Coturnix japonica: one gene and its partners. The protein of the gene in region 3 purifies or fractionates together with the protein of the main gene of each other region. This does not show direct contact. Links are inferred from orthologs where the notes say so. Each region holds a gene or a part of one and is shown on either strand. Other genes may lie near its edges.

Region 1 (4,144 bases), on a different chromosome or scaffold from region 3:
CTTGGTATTAGAGGTCTTTGCTGGTAATGTGAAAACATCTGCTCAAGTAGCATCTACTCACACTCAGTAATGTAGCAAACAAGTATTTTATTCATGCTGACAGAGTTAACAGCAGCTACTGCACAGTAACTGCAACTGAAGTTCTTCCATCACAAACTTTATGATTAGTGAGTGAAATCAGAAGTTAAAGTAGGATTTTCTATGAAAATTTATAGAAGACTGTAATACTCAATTCCCAGATATCCTCTGCAGTTAAAATAACTACCTAAAATTGGAAGGGATATAGCTCTTCGCACAGGCATTAAAGTGATTGTTCAGCCCCATTAACAAGGCGTAGGTAGCTCAAGAAAACAGTGACATACTAATTTTGAATGAGTTACAAGTGCACGCAATGCTGTAGGAGTTAACAGCGCTATTAAATGTTCTTTTTTAATTTAAAAAAAAAAAAAAGGAGAATATGGAACTACAGTCTCATTGCTGTTTTACTCCAGTAAAACTGGAGATGAAGTAAAAAGGATTTTCCATCAATAGGAGATATTCCAAGAGAAAAGTGAACGAAGGGTTTCTTAATAACAGGATGAAACTCAGCCCTCTCAATGGCAGTTTTCGTCTTCTTCAGCTTGATTCAGAGAACGACCCAGTTGAATCAAAGTAGCAAGATTAAAAACAACAAAAAAACAAACCAGAAAAAAAGGGAAAACAGAGTAATCCTGAAACATCACCATGGAACGAATTAGGACTCAGAAGAGTACAGCCATGTCCACATTTATACCCCTATGCTCACGGGAAAGGCGTGTTTTTTTGTTTTTAATGGCATTAAATTTTAATTTTTTCTAACGTTGTATGTAGAACATCTACACTCTCACAAAGAAAAAAGTAAACTGACAGGTATATTCTATTACTTCTCATCCTTTGGATTTAGAAAGACACAAGAGGAAAACCAAAACGTTATATATATAGATTAAATAAAAATAGTCACAAAATGAGTATTTGAACTGTTGTTCAAATGGAAGAGAAATGCTTCACCGGTTAGCAGCTCAAAGGCTTCAGTATTTAGGTTACAATGATGTTTTGTCTCACAAGCCAACCGTGCATTTAAAAGTCGACTAAGTTTTGCAGAACAAACTGTTAATAGTAGTTCTTAAGAGTGCTTAAAATGTTAATTATTTTTACTTTCTTAATAAGTAAAGCTATTTGTACTGCTCAAGGAAACAAAATGCTGAAGGTTTGGAAAGATTAAAAAACACAGATGTATTACCTACTGTCTTATTAATTAACAATACAGGTAAGTTTCAGATATAAGTAAGTCAGTAATTCCACTTGTATTCTATATATGGTATTAAGCAAGTTAGCTATATAAAGCAATAAACAGTTCTGAAAAATAGAGTAGTACTTTTTCTACACAGATTTTAAAGACTTTGTTGAAGATAGCTTGTGTTGTCTACATGTTGAGGGAGAGGTGGAAAAAACAAACCAAAAAACACTTTCCAGCTTTACTTATTGTGTTTCCTCAGAAGAACAATGGTGCATACTTAGGACTACATAGTAGCAAAAGTTCTAGAGAAGAAGAAACTAAGAGAATATAGTTAATAACTCAAGAAGAACAAGGTGGCATCATCCCAATGCAGTTTAGCAGTATGTTAATAGATTGCTGATGTTATTACACAGGTAAAAGCCTGAGTTTCTGTAGCTGTACTGTACCATTCTCAATAAAACTACACTATGAATTCCTATTCTTGTGCCTGTATATTTATAAATGCATATTATCAGCTAATTAGATTAAATTACAAGGACTTTATTAAATAGATATTAAAATATTCCAAACACATAATATTTAAAAATTGGCATTACCTAGTTTGAGCTGTATTGCTTCATTTGTGTTACATTTGTATTCAGCCAGCTTCTTCTCCATAGGAGTCAGTCCTAAAGAAAAAGATTTTGGGAAGAGTTTCGATATGTACAATCTGGGTCAGCGTAATTCAATGATTCAATGTAATTCAATGTTAAGAAAAAGGCTCTCAAGAACAGAAGGAACAACATCATAACGCTGACTTCATTTCATAATGCACTGCTCTCCCTGCAGCTCCTACTTTGTCATTCTCTTTACTTTTCAAGCCAATCTGTTTTCTCACTATGAAGTGTTTTCCAAAATAAATGCAGATGTGTTTGAATAAGGGTTAATGCATGTCAGGAGATCTTGAACTGTGGCAGGAATGCTACCAAGCTGTTACGTAGCTATTACCTTCTTTCCAGAGTGGATGAGGCAGGAAATTACAGGTAGCCTGTTTCCCAGCGTCTAATCCAGCACACAAAAGGCGTGTCATTCATCAAGGCATTTTTCAAGTGTGTTAAACCCACCCTGTCTCCCTATTCCAGCAGCATTAGCAGAAGTTCTTCCTCCCATTTCAAGCAATTCAGAATAAGGTTACTCCAGAAGTGTTCTCAATGACCCGGCGGGCACAGAGCCGCACACGGTGTGTAAATACAGCCCCGCTGCAGAGCTGACCCACGGCAGCGGCCGCCCAGCCCACGGCCCGGTCCGCAGGGCCCGAGATGGCCCCGAGCTCCTGCTGTGCTGCGGGGGGCGAGGCCAGCAAAGGGCCCTGCTCCCGTTCGTGGCCCAGCACAAACTCGGGCCCGGTCGCGGGGAGGAGCACCGTCCGCGCCCAGGGCGACTGCTCCCCTTAATAGAAGATGGACGACGGCTCCCACACCCCGGCGGCTGCAGTCAGGCTGCAATCAGGCCGCCGACCGGCCGGCCCCGGCCTACGACTCACCCGCCATTTCCCAGCGGCGGCGGCGGCCGAGTCACCCGGGCACAACGAATCAAGCCGCGCGCCCACTCGGCGGAAGTGAGAAGACGCGCACACACTTCCGCTTCCGCCCGCCCAAAAGCGGCCGGGAACCGCCAGCTGAGGCTGGACCCCGTGTGCGCATGCGCAGCCGCGTGCCGGCGGGAGCCTTTAAGGAGCCGCGCGTTGGCTCAGCGGCTCATTGGCACAGCCCCGCCCCAGGGGCAGCCTGCAGCGGGGTTACTGATGTGTCGTTACTTCAGCCTCACACCTGCCTCAGTGCCGGGACGGGATGAGGGACCCGGGGCCGATTCGCTCTCGTTAAAGCGTTAGTGGCTTCGCCTCAGGGTCCGGCCCTGCGGAGCGCAGCAGCGGCGCTGGCAGAGCAGGCAGGTTCCTTCCAAATCCCTTCTGCGAGCTCGGACGCCGAGCTGCTGTGCCGGTCTGCGCTGCCCCGCGCCCGGCGGGTCCCGCTCTGCCTTACGGTCACACCGGCCGCTCCGACCCTCACCGCCGCCAGGCGCCGTACGGCCGCTCCCTGCCGTGTCCCTGCCGTGTCCCTGCCGCGTGCCTGGCCGCTCCCTGCCGTGTCCCTGCCGTGCTGCGGGCTGAGGCTGCAGCGCTGTCCCGTTGTGCTGGGCCGCCACATCCCCAGGGCATTGCCCCGCTCAGCGGCACGAGCCGTGCACGAGCGCCTCTCGCCCCGATGCGGCGGCCCCCGACGCTGTCACACGGAGCCGGCTGAGCGTCCGCTGCAGCCCGACCCGACCCGGCCGGCACCGGTCGCCGCGCTGCGGGATTTGGAGGCGCGGGGCCGCCGACACGGTACGGCGGATACCGAGGGCAGCCCGCCGGGCGGGGCAGGGCGGGGCCGGGCGCTGCCTCCCACGGCGCGGCGCTGAGGCGGCGGCGCTGCGGCGGCGCGGCGGGTGGGTAGAGGCGCGCGGCTCCTCCTCCCGCTCGCCGGCGCAGCATGGCGGTCAAGGTGACTCCTCCGTCGTCGGGCGGCCGCCGTGCCTGCCCGCGGGGCCCCGAGGGACGCGGGACGAAGCCGGAGGCGGGGGGGGGGCGGCTGCGGGGAAGGGGCAGCGCGGTCGGTCCTGCCTCCGTCCGCCGAGGAGCAGCGGCGCGGGCCGAGGCCGTTACTCGGCGCGTGAGGGAGGGAACGGTCGCGGCCCGGCGCTCCGCATCCCCAGGGACGGGCGCGGTGCGGGACCCGCGCGCTGGGCCGGCTGTCAGCGGGTGACACGGGATGTCGTGTTTGAGTCTTATCGGTTAGATAAGGCAGCCGATACCGCCGCCCTTATCGGCACTCATTGCGTTTTTGTTCCCGAGTTGTAGCTCAGCTGGTG
Region 2 (4,095 bases), on a different chromosome or scaffold from region 3:
ATGCATTCACCAACCACTAAAATAGACAAATATTGCAGAGCTGAAAAATAAAGCTTAGAAGAAAAAAAAATAATAATCCAAAATGAAATGAACCAAATAAGTTCCCAGCAGGCACTTGTGAATCTACATGTGATGCAACACTGGGAGCACGGAAGGTCAGAAATGTTTCTAAGCTGTGATAATGGCTGCTCACTATCAAGTATGTGCAGCTCTTTCCCATTTCCTCGTCCCTACTCCCCAGCCTTTTCTCTATCTTTAGCCCTTCTTTTTCACTCCAAAGCGCTCTGCTCAAAATATCCTGGTAGATGACAAGCTGCTGCCAGCCTGAAACCTCCTGGAATGTTACAACGAAACTTGCCCAAGGATCTTCCCATGGCACATCTCTGTGCAGATCAGTCAGAAATTATTGGCAATTTATGTTTCTTGATAGTAATAGTAGCTTGTTGTGAGGAGTCTCTTCTACTGTGCCCAATCTGGCCTTTCATCTGACACGAGGAATGCTAAAAATGTACACTGAGCAACAGATGAGGCAACTATCAGACACTTCTTTGTCAACACAGAAGCATAATCACCTTTCCAAACCTGGCAGTGGCTTGGAGGACGGCTAAGGGCCTCACTGTAGACATGGCAGCACTCTGCTGCTTGCCTGCATGGCTCAGGCAAGATGTCTGCTCCGTACCTTCCTGCCGCACATTAAGTGTTCCCCGCAGGCACGATTACTGCATGACCACGTATTTATTTCCTCCGGGAATCGCCTCTCACGCTGACGAGAAACACCTCACACCCCCAGCCCGGGGCACGGCTCTCCCCAGCCCAGCGGCGGGCGGTGACATGACATATCCCCGCTGCCATTCCCGCACACGGCAGCCTAAAATGGCCTCCTCCAAGGGCCGCTTGTGTTCGGGGCGTGCGGCGCTGCCGGAGGCTTCACTACAGCACAGCCACGGGTTGACAGCTTTCTGGAGGCCGCTCACACAGCGGACCAGGGCTCGGTCGGGCAGTCCCCAGTCAGCACGTAACACCTGACACCTCCGGGTTCGCGAAAAGAATTAAAAAGAATGAAAACACGCCTTCCTCGGGCACTAACAACCGGCAAAACCCACAGCACATGGCGGAAACCCACGCGCGAGCAGGGGCGCGGCCTACGGCTCCCGGGGCCGCCCCTCGGCTCCGCGCTCGGCCCCGCCCGCTCGGCCCGGCCCCTCCCCGCTCTGCGCGGCCGTTGGCCGGCGGCTGCCGGGCGGTTTGGCGGCGGTGTCGGGCGCCGGCCGGGCGGGGGCGCCGAGCGGCGCGGAGGGGCCGGGCGGGCGGCGGCGGTGCCTGTCTTGCCGCCGCTCGGCGGTCGGCTCGGCTCGGGGAGGAGGGCCCTAGCCCAGCGCGCGGCCAATCCGGACGGGCGCTGGCGGAGAGCAGGGCAGAATGGGCCGTAGTTGAGTGAAATAGGAAAGCTGCGAACAGAGTGGAGTGCTCCCGGTGTAAATAAAAGGGGGGAAGAAAAGTTTCCCCAAGTCGCGGCTCCGCAGCCTCGCTCCGACGGGGGGCAGGGGGCTTCGTGCGAGGCGGAGATCACCGCTCGGGACTTTGCCGTGCGGCGTTCACCCGCTCCTCCTATTGTGATTTTTTTCAAAATATGGCAAAGGTTCAGGTGAACAATGTAGTGGTGTTGGACAACCCTTCTCCTTTCTACAACCCTTTCCAGTTCGAAATCACATTTGAGTGCATAGAGGACCTGTCGGAAGGTGAGTACCGCTCTCCGGACGCGGGTTCGGCGGTGCCCGGGCTGTCGGATGCGGGGCCGGGCGGGCTCCCTTCGGGCCGGGCCTGCTCCCGCCGCCGCACGGTTCTCCTCCCCGCAGAGCCGTGCGGCCACGCGGGGGATGCGGAGCTACGGCGGGGCCGCCCGGCCCCGGCCCGGGCAGGGAAAGTTAGCGGCGGAGCCCTCGCTCCGGGGCCGCCGCTCCGCTTCGCTCCCCGCCGCGCCGTCGCCGAGGCCGCCTTCAAGTTGCGAGGAACTTGTTAGAGTGGTGGTAGCCATGTTGCCAGCTTTGTGTGTGCGTGGGGGGGCAGAGCGGGAGCGGGCGGGCGGGCAGGGCGCCGCGCGGCCCCGCGACGCGGGAGCGGAACTGTTGCGCGGCCGTAGCGCTGCCAACGGGAGGTACCCGCAGCGCGGGCAGCGTTTGGAGCGTGCGGTGCGGGGCCTCACGGTCCATTTTAATACTTAAAAGGAGGGAAGGAAAAAAAAAAAAAAAGAAAAGGAAAAAAACAGAGCTGGAGGCCGGGCGGACGAGCGGGCGGCTCTCGGTGGGCGCAGTGCTCGGAGCCCGGTGGGTGGCGGTCCGGAGGCGCGGAGCCGTGCCGGGAGGAGGGGGAGGCGGTAGCCACTATTTTTGGAAGTCACTCGAAAGTTACCGGCTGCCGCCGGGGGAGGCGGCTCGGCGCCGCCCTGCACGCCGCCCCGCGGGGACCCCGGGACGGGAGACGCGGCTGAGGGACCCTTCTCGGCCGGGCTCGAGTCCTCCCGTCCGCACGGCGGGCCGCGAGCAGCCCCCGGCCCGCTGTGGGCCGGCTCGCTCGGCACGATGTGTCCGTGCCGCCGGCAGGCCGCGCCGCGCCTCTCCGCGGGAGGCGCCCCGAGAGTCCGCGCGGGAACAACCGGGCGGGAGATTCGAACGCGGCGGCGCACGGCGAAGGAAGCGGCGGGATGAGCGGCACCGAGAGACAGGAAAAGGCCGCTCCGATGGAGCAGCCACAGGACAGGTGCCGCTATGGGGCACAGTGCCGCCTGCTCGCCGGGGAACCAGGGCAGACAGCGGGAGGCAGGGAAAGAAACTCGTGGCAGTAGAGAATGGGGACGTTTCTATTGCTGCTGTGGTTCAGTTTGCCTCCCTCAACACTCGGCGCGGGTTTCTGTCCCTGTGTGGCGGGTTGGCGGTGCTGTCAGGAACTTTGTCAAAGTCCTGTCTGCGTTTGAGGTTCCCCCCACGCCTCTGCCCCCTTCCTAAAACTGATCAGCGTCTCAGTTTGAGCAGCCCGCGCCATTAAGCTCCGTGCACATCCCGATGCTGATGGCTGCTCCTCCCTGACTCAGGCAGTCAGGGCTCACTCAGGACAGCAGCACCTGAATCCTCACACAGCAGTGCCTGCAGCAGCACAGGCACTAGGCATCACCTTGCCTTTCCTTTGGTTTGTGACCACTCCTAACTGTGTGTTTAACAGTGCGATTAATCTGGACAGTCAGGATGAGAACTGGAGGTGGCCCAGTTCAAAATTCTCAGTTCCCTTCCCCCATCTGACAAAGGTTAGGCTACAGGATATGTTTAGGGTAAGCATTGCTATCTTTCACGTTTAAAAATGAGGTTAAACAGCTTCTTGAAGAGAATGAATTGCTGTCATTTCCTTAGCGTTTGTGTGCTAATGTCTGCTCTGCTGTTTACAGCCAGTCCTGTGCACCACTGGTCTTAAAAGTAAATTAATTGAGTTCACTTCCCCCGTCTTTAAATTATTCCAAGTCATCATGTATCAGCAGTATCAGATCAACCTTTTAAAGGTATAAGTTATCTTCAAAGGCTTGTTTTTCAGTACCAAGTATTACTGCTTTAGAATGAGTTTGTTTTCCTGGAATAACTGCAAGTGATGGTATGATAACCTTAAGCGATCTAGCCTCTTATGTCCCCACTCCTTGAACACAGCAGATTACATAGGCTCCAACAGAAGGTCACCAGCTGACCCAATGAGTGCTTAGTACCCCAGCAGCCAACACCAGGTGCTTATGGGGTAAACAGAATCTCTGATGCAGAACCTGGCCCGTTGTGCCGTGCTGTATGAGGGGTTACGGTTTCATTAATGAGGAAAAAAATCAGTTGCAAGCCTAAATGCTGGAGACATTCCTACAGACTGAACAAATTCTCATTACAGCTCCCAGCAAGTAAATGGGCCCTACCTGCTGTAGGAGAATCGCAGCTTAACCAGTCTATGAAAATAGAGGGGCTTCTGCAGACTGGAGAAAGGTGGTGGGATGGCCTAGTTTATGAGGACTGGAGAAAGCATCAGCTTCCCTGATAAAGACAAGTTCCCTGATCCTTTATGCCAGTTGCC
Region 3 (3,581 bases):
GGTATATAATGCCATGGGGGAGGAAGAAGAGGTGAAGAAGTCTCCAGTGCTAACTGAGAAGGAAATCAAAGGAGAGGATGTTGAAATGGAAGATGTTACAGAAGAAAAGCCAAAAGAAGAAACAGTTACAGATGTGGAGGTAAAGCTTGAAGGGTCTGCAGAGAAGACAGAGACTTCTGTGGAGAAAGTGAATTCGGAAGAGCATGACCAGCAGACGGCTGTGGAAAAGAATGCAGAAGCAGCAGTTGTGGAAGAGAAGGCAGTGGAGAAAGAGCAGGACACAAAGCATGAAGAAGCAGAGGCAACTGAGGGCAGGAACAGCACAAAGGAGGTGTTGGATGAGAAGGTGAAGGCAGCTGTGGAAGAGAACGAAGCTGCAGAAGCACCGGCAGAAAAGAAAGGAGGGGCAGGAGAGCAGACAGCAGGAACAGCGGAAACTGAGACGGCAGAGCAGAAAGAAGCTGCGGAAGAACAAGCAGAAGCAGTTGAAAAGAAGGTGGAGGAGAAGGAGTCAGTGGAGACAGCTCCAGAACAGAAACNGACACAAAGCATGAAGAAGCAGAGGCAACTGAGGGCAGGAACAGCACAAAGGAGGTGTTGGATGAGAAGGTGAAGGCAGCTGTGGAAGAGAACGAGTCTGTAGAAGGGCAGGCAGAGGAGAAGGCAGTGTCACAAGAAGGGACAGCAGAAGGGCAGGCAGCAGCTGTGGCAGAGCAGAAAGAAGCTGCGGAAGAACAAGCAGAAGCAGTTGAAAAGAAGGTGGAGGAGAAGGAGTCAGTGGAGACAGCTCCAGAACAGAAACCAGATGAATCCAAAGAGGTGGATTCCTCAAAAGAACCAGTGTCTGCAGTGGGTGAAGATCCAGCTAATGATACAGGAGAAAAGACTGAAGTGGCTGCTAAGGTAGAGAAAGAGGAAAAGAAAGATGACCAGATGGAAGAGAGTGAAGGTGCTAAGGTAGAAAAAGAAGAGAAAGATGACCAGATGGAAGAGGGAGAAGGTAACAGTGAGGAGAAAAGTACTTGTGGGTGGCTGACTTGCTGGATTTGGCTAACAGTGGGTAAAGTGTTCCATTCAGGATTTTCTGTTTGCCTTAAAATGAGGAAAAATGGGGTTTAGAAGGATTTTACATCCGAGTAACTGGCTTCAGTAAAGTTTCAAGAACTAGAGAATAGTCTCAGTTTCTTTAGACTAACGCTTAACTAACTGCAAAGCAAATCTTTAAAGCAAACTTACAGCCCTGTGAAATGCGTAAGTAAAGGCTCGGCTGGTGGAGAATACTGAATGGATGTTCACTTGCATGCATTTGGGTTTAACGCACTAACCTTCAAATAACTTAAATCACGAGTTGCCTCTGGTTATAACTGTACTTTAAAACAGTGGTGCAGAAAAATAAGAACTGCTGAATTTATAATAAAGTGATAAATTAGCTTTCCAGAGGGCAGGGAGTAATTTTCTGTTTGAGTCTTCCTAGCAGTAATCAAAAGTGAGAATTTGGCTGACGAATGCAGGCTTATTGCTTCCATCTAGCGCAGTTTTGGAGCTCCCTGCTTTTTCTGCCATTCTGCTTCCCTGCTTCATTATGGCTTTTTGCAAGGTTACGTTAAAGTCGCCTGGTAAAACCTATGTGCTTTGCTGTAGTTGTATGTGCATGGCCTTAGTAGGCTGTGGATTTCTGTTGGACAAGTTCATCAATATTCTGCTAATAGAAACTTGGCTTGTCAGTAGCTCAGCTGCACAGGAAGAGCCTTGTTGAGGAGAGGCAAGTCTTCAGATCAAATAGTTCTGGATACTGGGAGGACTTGTACCGCTCAGCACAGTGAGCACAGTAATGAAGCAGCTGCCTGGGAAGGTGTCTGTCTGACCAGAGTGTGACTGAACATAAACTGAGAACAGTTACCCACTCTTCTTTATCCTATGAAGGACTGCTTATGTACATGCTGCTTTCTTTTGCTCAGACTCTTGTTGTTATGAGGACACCCTTGAACATCTTAATCTGGTGCACTGACAGCAGCTGTTCTGTTTTAGATTTGATCAGGCTGTCCATGTACTTAATTATTTTGGTGCTCTTTGGCTGGTGTTGGCAGTCGGACTGAGCAGCTCATGGGTTTTCTAGTCACCACAACAAGCTCCTGTTGTCCTAGAATTAGTCAGTGGTCACAGTCTGAGTTGGTTGACTTGAAGCTGAAGTCACAGAAATTAGCAGTTGTTAAGGTAATCAGATTCCTTACCTGCACACCTCAAAAATCTACCAGTAGAGCAGATGATGCAAAACTTGCACAATATCACAAGTCAAATAGCACTGTATGACAGCAGGTTCATTGGTAATGTTGTGAATATCTGAAGTGAGGAACTCAAATTCAGGAGCAGTCTTATCTGTATGCAGCTTGCTAGTTATCTTGCTGAAAATGCTTGTTATCTGTAGCATGGAGTTCCAACAACTGACCAGTGCCTCTATGGCTGCTTGGGATTCCATGTGTTCAGTGGGGATTCACAGTGTGTTAGTGGGAACAATTCTAGCTAAGTTTCCATGCTGCCATTATGAAGTTACATTTTAAAATGTAAACTGAGGTTGCCTGGAACTACCTTAGTTTACAGTGCCTGATGTTTTCAGCAAGATGGCTGCTGCTGTGAGTAATTTTACCTGTGCTCTCCTTAATCACACTTCTAACCTCTCACTGGAAGGGTAAGGGCTGGGTCAAATATTCTGCCTGGCTCCAGGTGATGCGACACAGTAACAAGCATTCTCATTCATCTTGCTTTTCTCACAGAAACAGAAGAATCTGAAGAGGAAGACAAAGAAAATGATAAAGCTGAAGATGATAAGGAGAATGAATTGGCAGTGGAAGACAAGGTGAGGTTGCTGAGCTCTGATGTTGGCGCTATTGAATGCAAGGTCTGTCTAAATGTCACATGAATATCTTTAAGCTTTTGAAAGTTCACTTGTATTTTGTTTATTCCTGTACAGGAAGTTAGTTCTGTGCAGTGAAACCAATGTTGCCTAATGGAGGGGCATCAGTGCCTTATAGGCATACATGTTCTTCCTTCGAGTAGCAAAGCATTCATCCCTTGGTCAAAATGTACTCCTTGGGAATGCTGTTTAAAAGCATAAGGTTGTTTAATGTGACAGGTATCCAAATGGCTTCATATTTTATGCATTTCTGGTTTTGCAGGAAAGTGAGGAGGAGGAAATTGGCAATCTTGAGCTGGCCTGGGACATGCTGGAGTTGGCCAAAGTCATCTATAAGAGGTAAAATCTGAGGCTGTGATTTGAATGTTTGCTAGAGAAGCTCCCTGAGTTGGGAGGTGGTGAAGGCATAACGCTGTGTATTTCAAAGACTTGAAAACAGTTGTTTTTTTTTTTCCCCTTGATTTAGGCAAGAAACAAAAGAAGCTCAGCTTCACGCAGCTCAGGCTCATCTAAAGCTAGGAGAAGTTAGCATTGAATCTGGTAAGTAGTGCTAATTGTTGTGTATGAACTGCTAAGTTAAGTCTTGCCATGTTTTATTTCATACTCAAAAATGAATAGAGGTGATTTAAGGCTGAGAAGGTTGGGGAGGGGTTGAAAATCAAAACAAGTT

Evidence for each region.
Region 1: the proteins of NASP (region 3) and HAT1 purify together in Homo sapiens (affinity purification with mass spectrometry; 3 studies listed by BioGRID and IntAct, with this or other methods). This does not show direct contact. The link is inferred for Coturnix japonica from reciprocal best matches to the Homo sapiens genes NASP and HAT1.
Region 2: the proteins of NASP (region 3) and ASF1A purify together in Homo sapiens (affinity purification with mass spectrometry; 6 studies listed by BioGRID and IntAct, counting the BioPlex papers as one, with this or other methods). This does not show direct contact. The link is inferred for Coturnix japonica from reciprocal best matches to the Homo sapiens genes NASP and ASF1A.

Annotation. Positions count from the first base shown.
Region 1 is NC_029522.1:16,001,550-16,005,693, forward strand, and holds the start of HAT1 (histone acetyltransferase type B catalytic subunit), read right to left. Parts: upstream 2,854-4,144; 5' UTR 2,785-2,853; coding exon 2,778-2,784; intron 2,637-2,777; exon of another isoform or gene 2,405-2,636; coding exon of another isoform or gene 2,359-2,404; intron 2,297-2,358; coding exon 2,243-2,296; intron 1,924-2,242; coding exon 1,852-1,923; intron 1-1,851. Other genes in the region: SLC25A12 (calcium-binding mitochondrial carrier protein Aralar1), read left to right, coding at 2,936-3,031. UniProt on the Homo sapiens protein: Histone acetyltransferase that plays a role in different biological processes including cell cycle progression, glucose metabolism, histone production or DNA damage repair. Coordinates histone production and acetylation via H4 promoter binding.
Region 2 is NC_029518.1:57,106,800-57,110,894, reverse strand, and holds the start of ASF1A (histone chaperone ASF1A), read left to right. Parts: upstream 1-1,244; 5' UTR 1,245-1,630; coding exon 1,631-1,739; intron 1,740-4,095. UniProt on the Homo sapiens protein: Histone chaperone that facilitates histone deposition and histone exchange and removal during nucleosome assembly and disassembly.
Region 3 is NC_029523.1:18,774,614-18,778,194, forward strand, and holds part of NASP (nuclear autoantigenic sperm protein), read left to right. Parts: coding exon 1-443; intron 444-578; coding exon of another isoform or gene 579-616; coding exon 617-1,000; intron 1,001-2,771; coding exon 2,772-2,854; intron 2,855-3,173; coding exon 3,174-3,250; intron 3,251-3,377; coding exon 3,378-3,451; intron 3,452-3,581. UniProt on the Homo sapiens protein: Component of the histone chaperone network. Binds and stabilizes histone H3-H4 not bound to chromatin to maintain a soluble reservoir and modulate degradation by chaperone-mediated autophagy.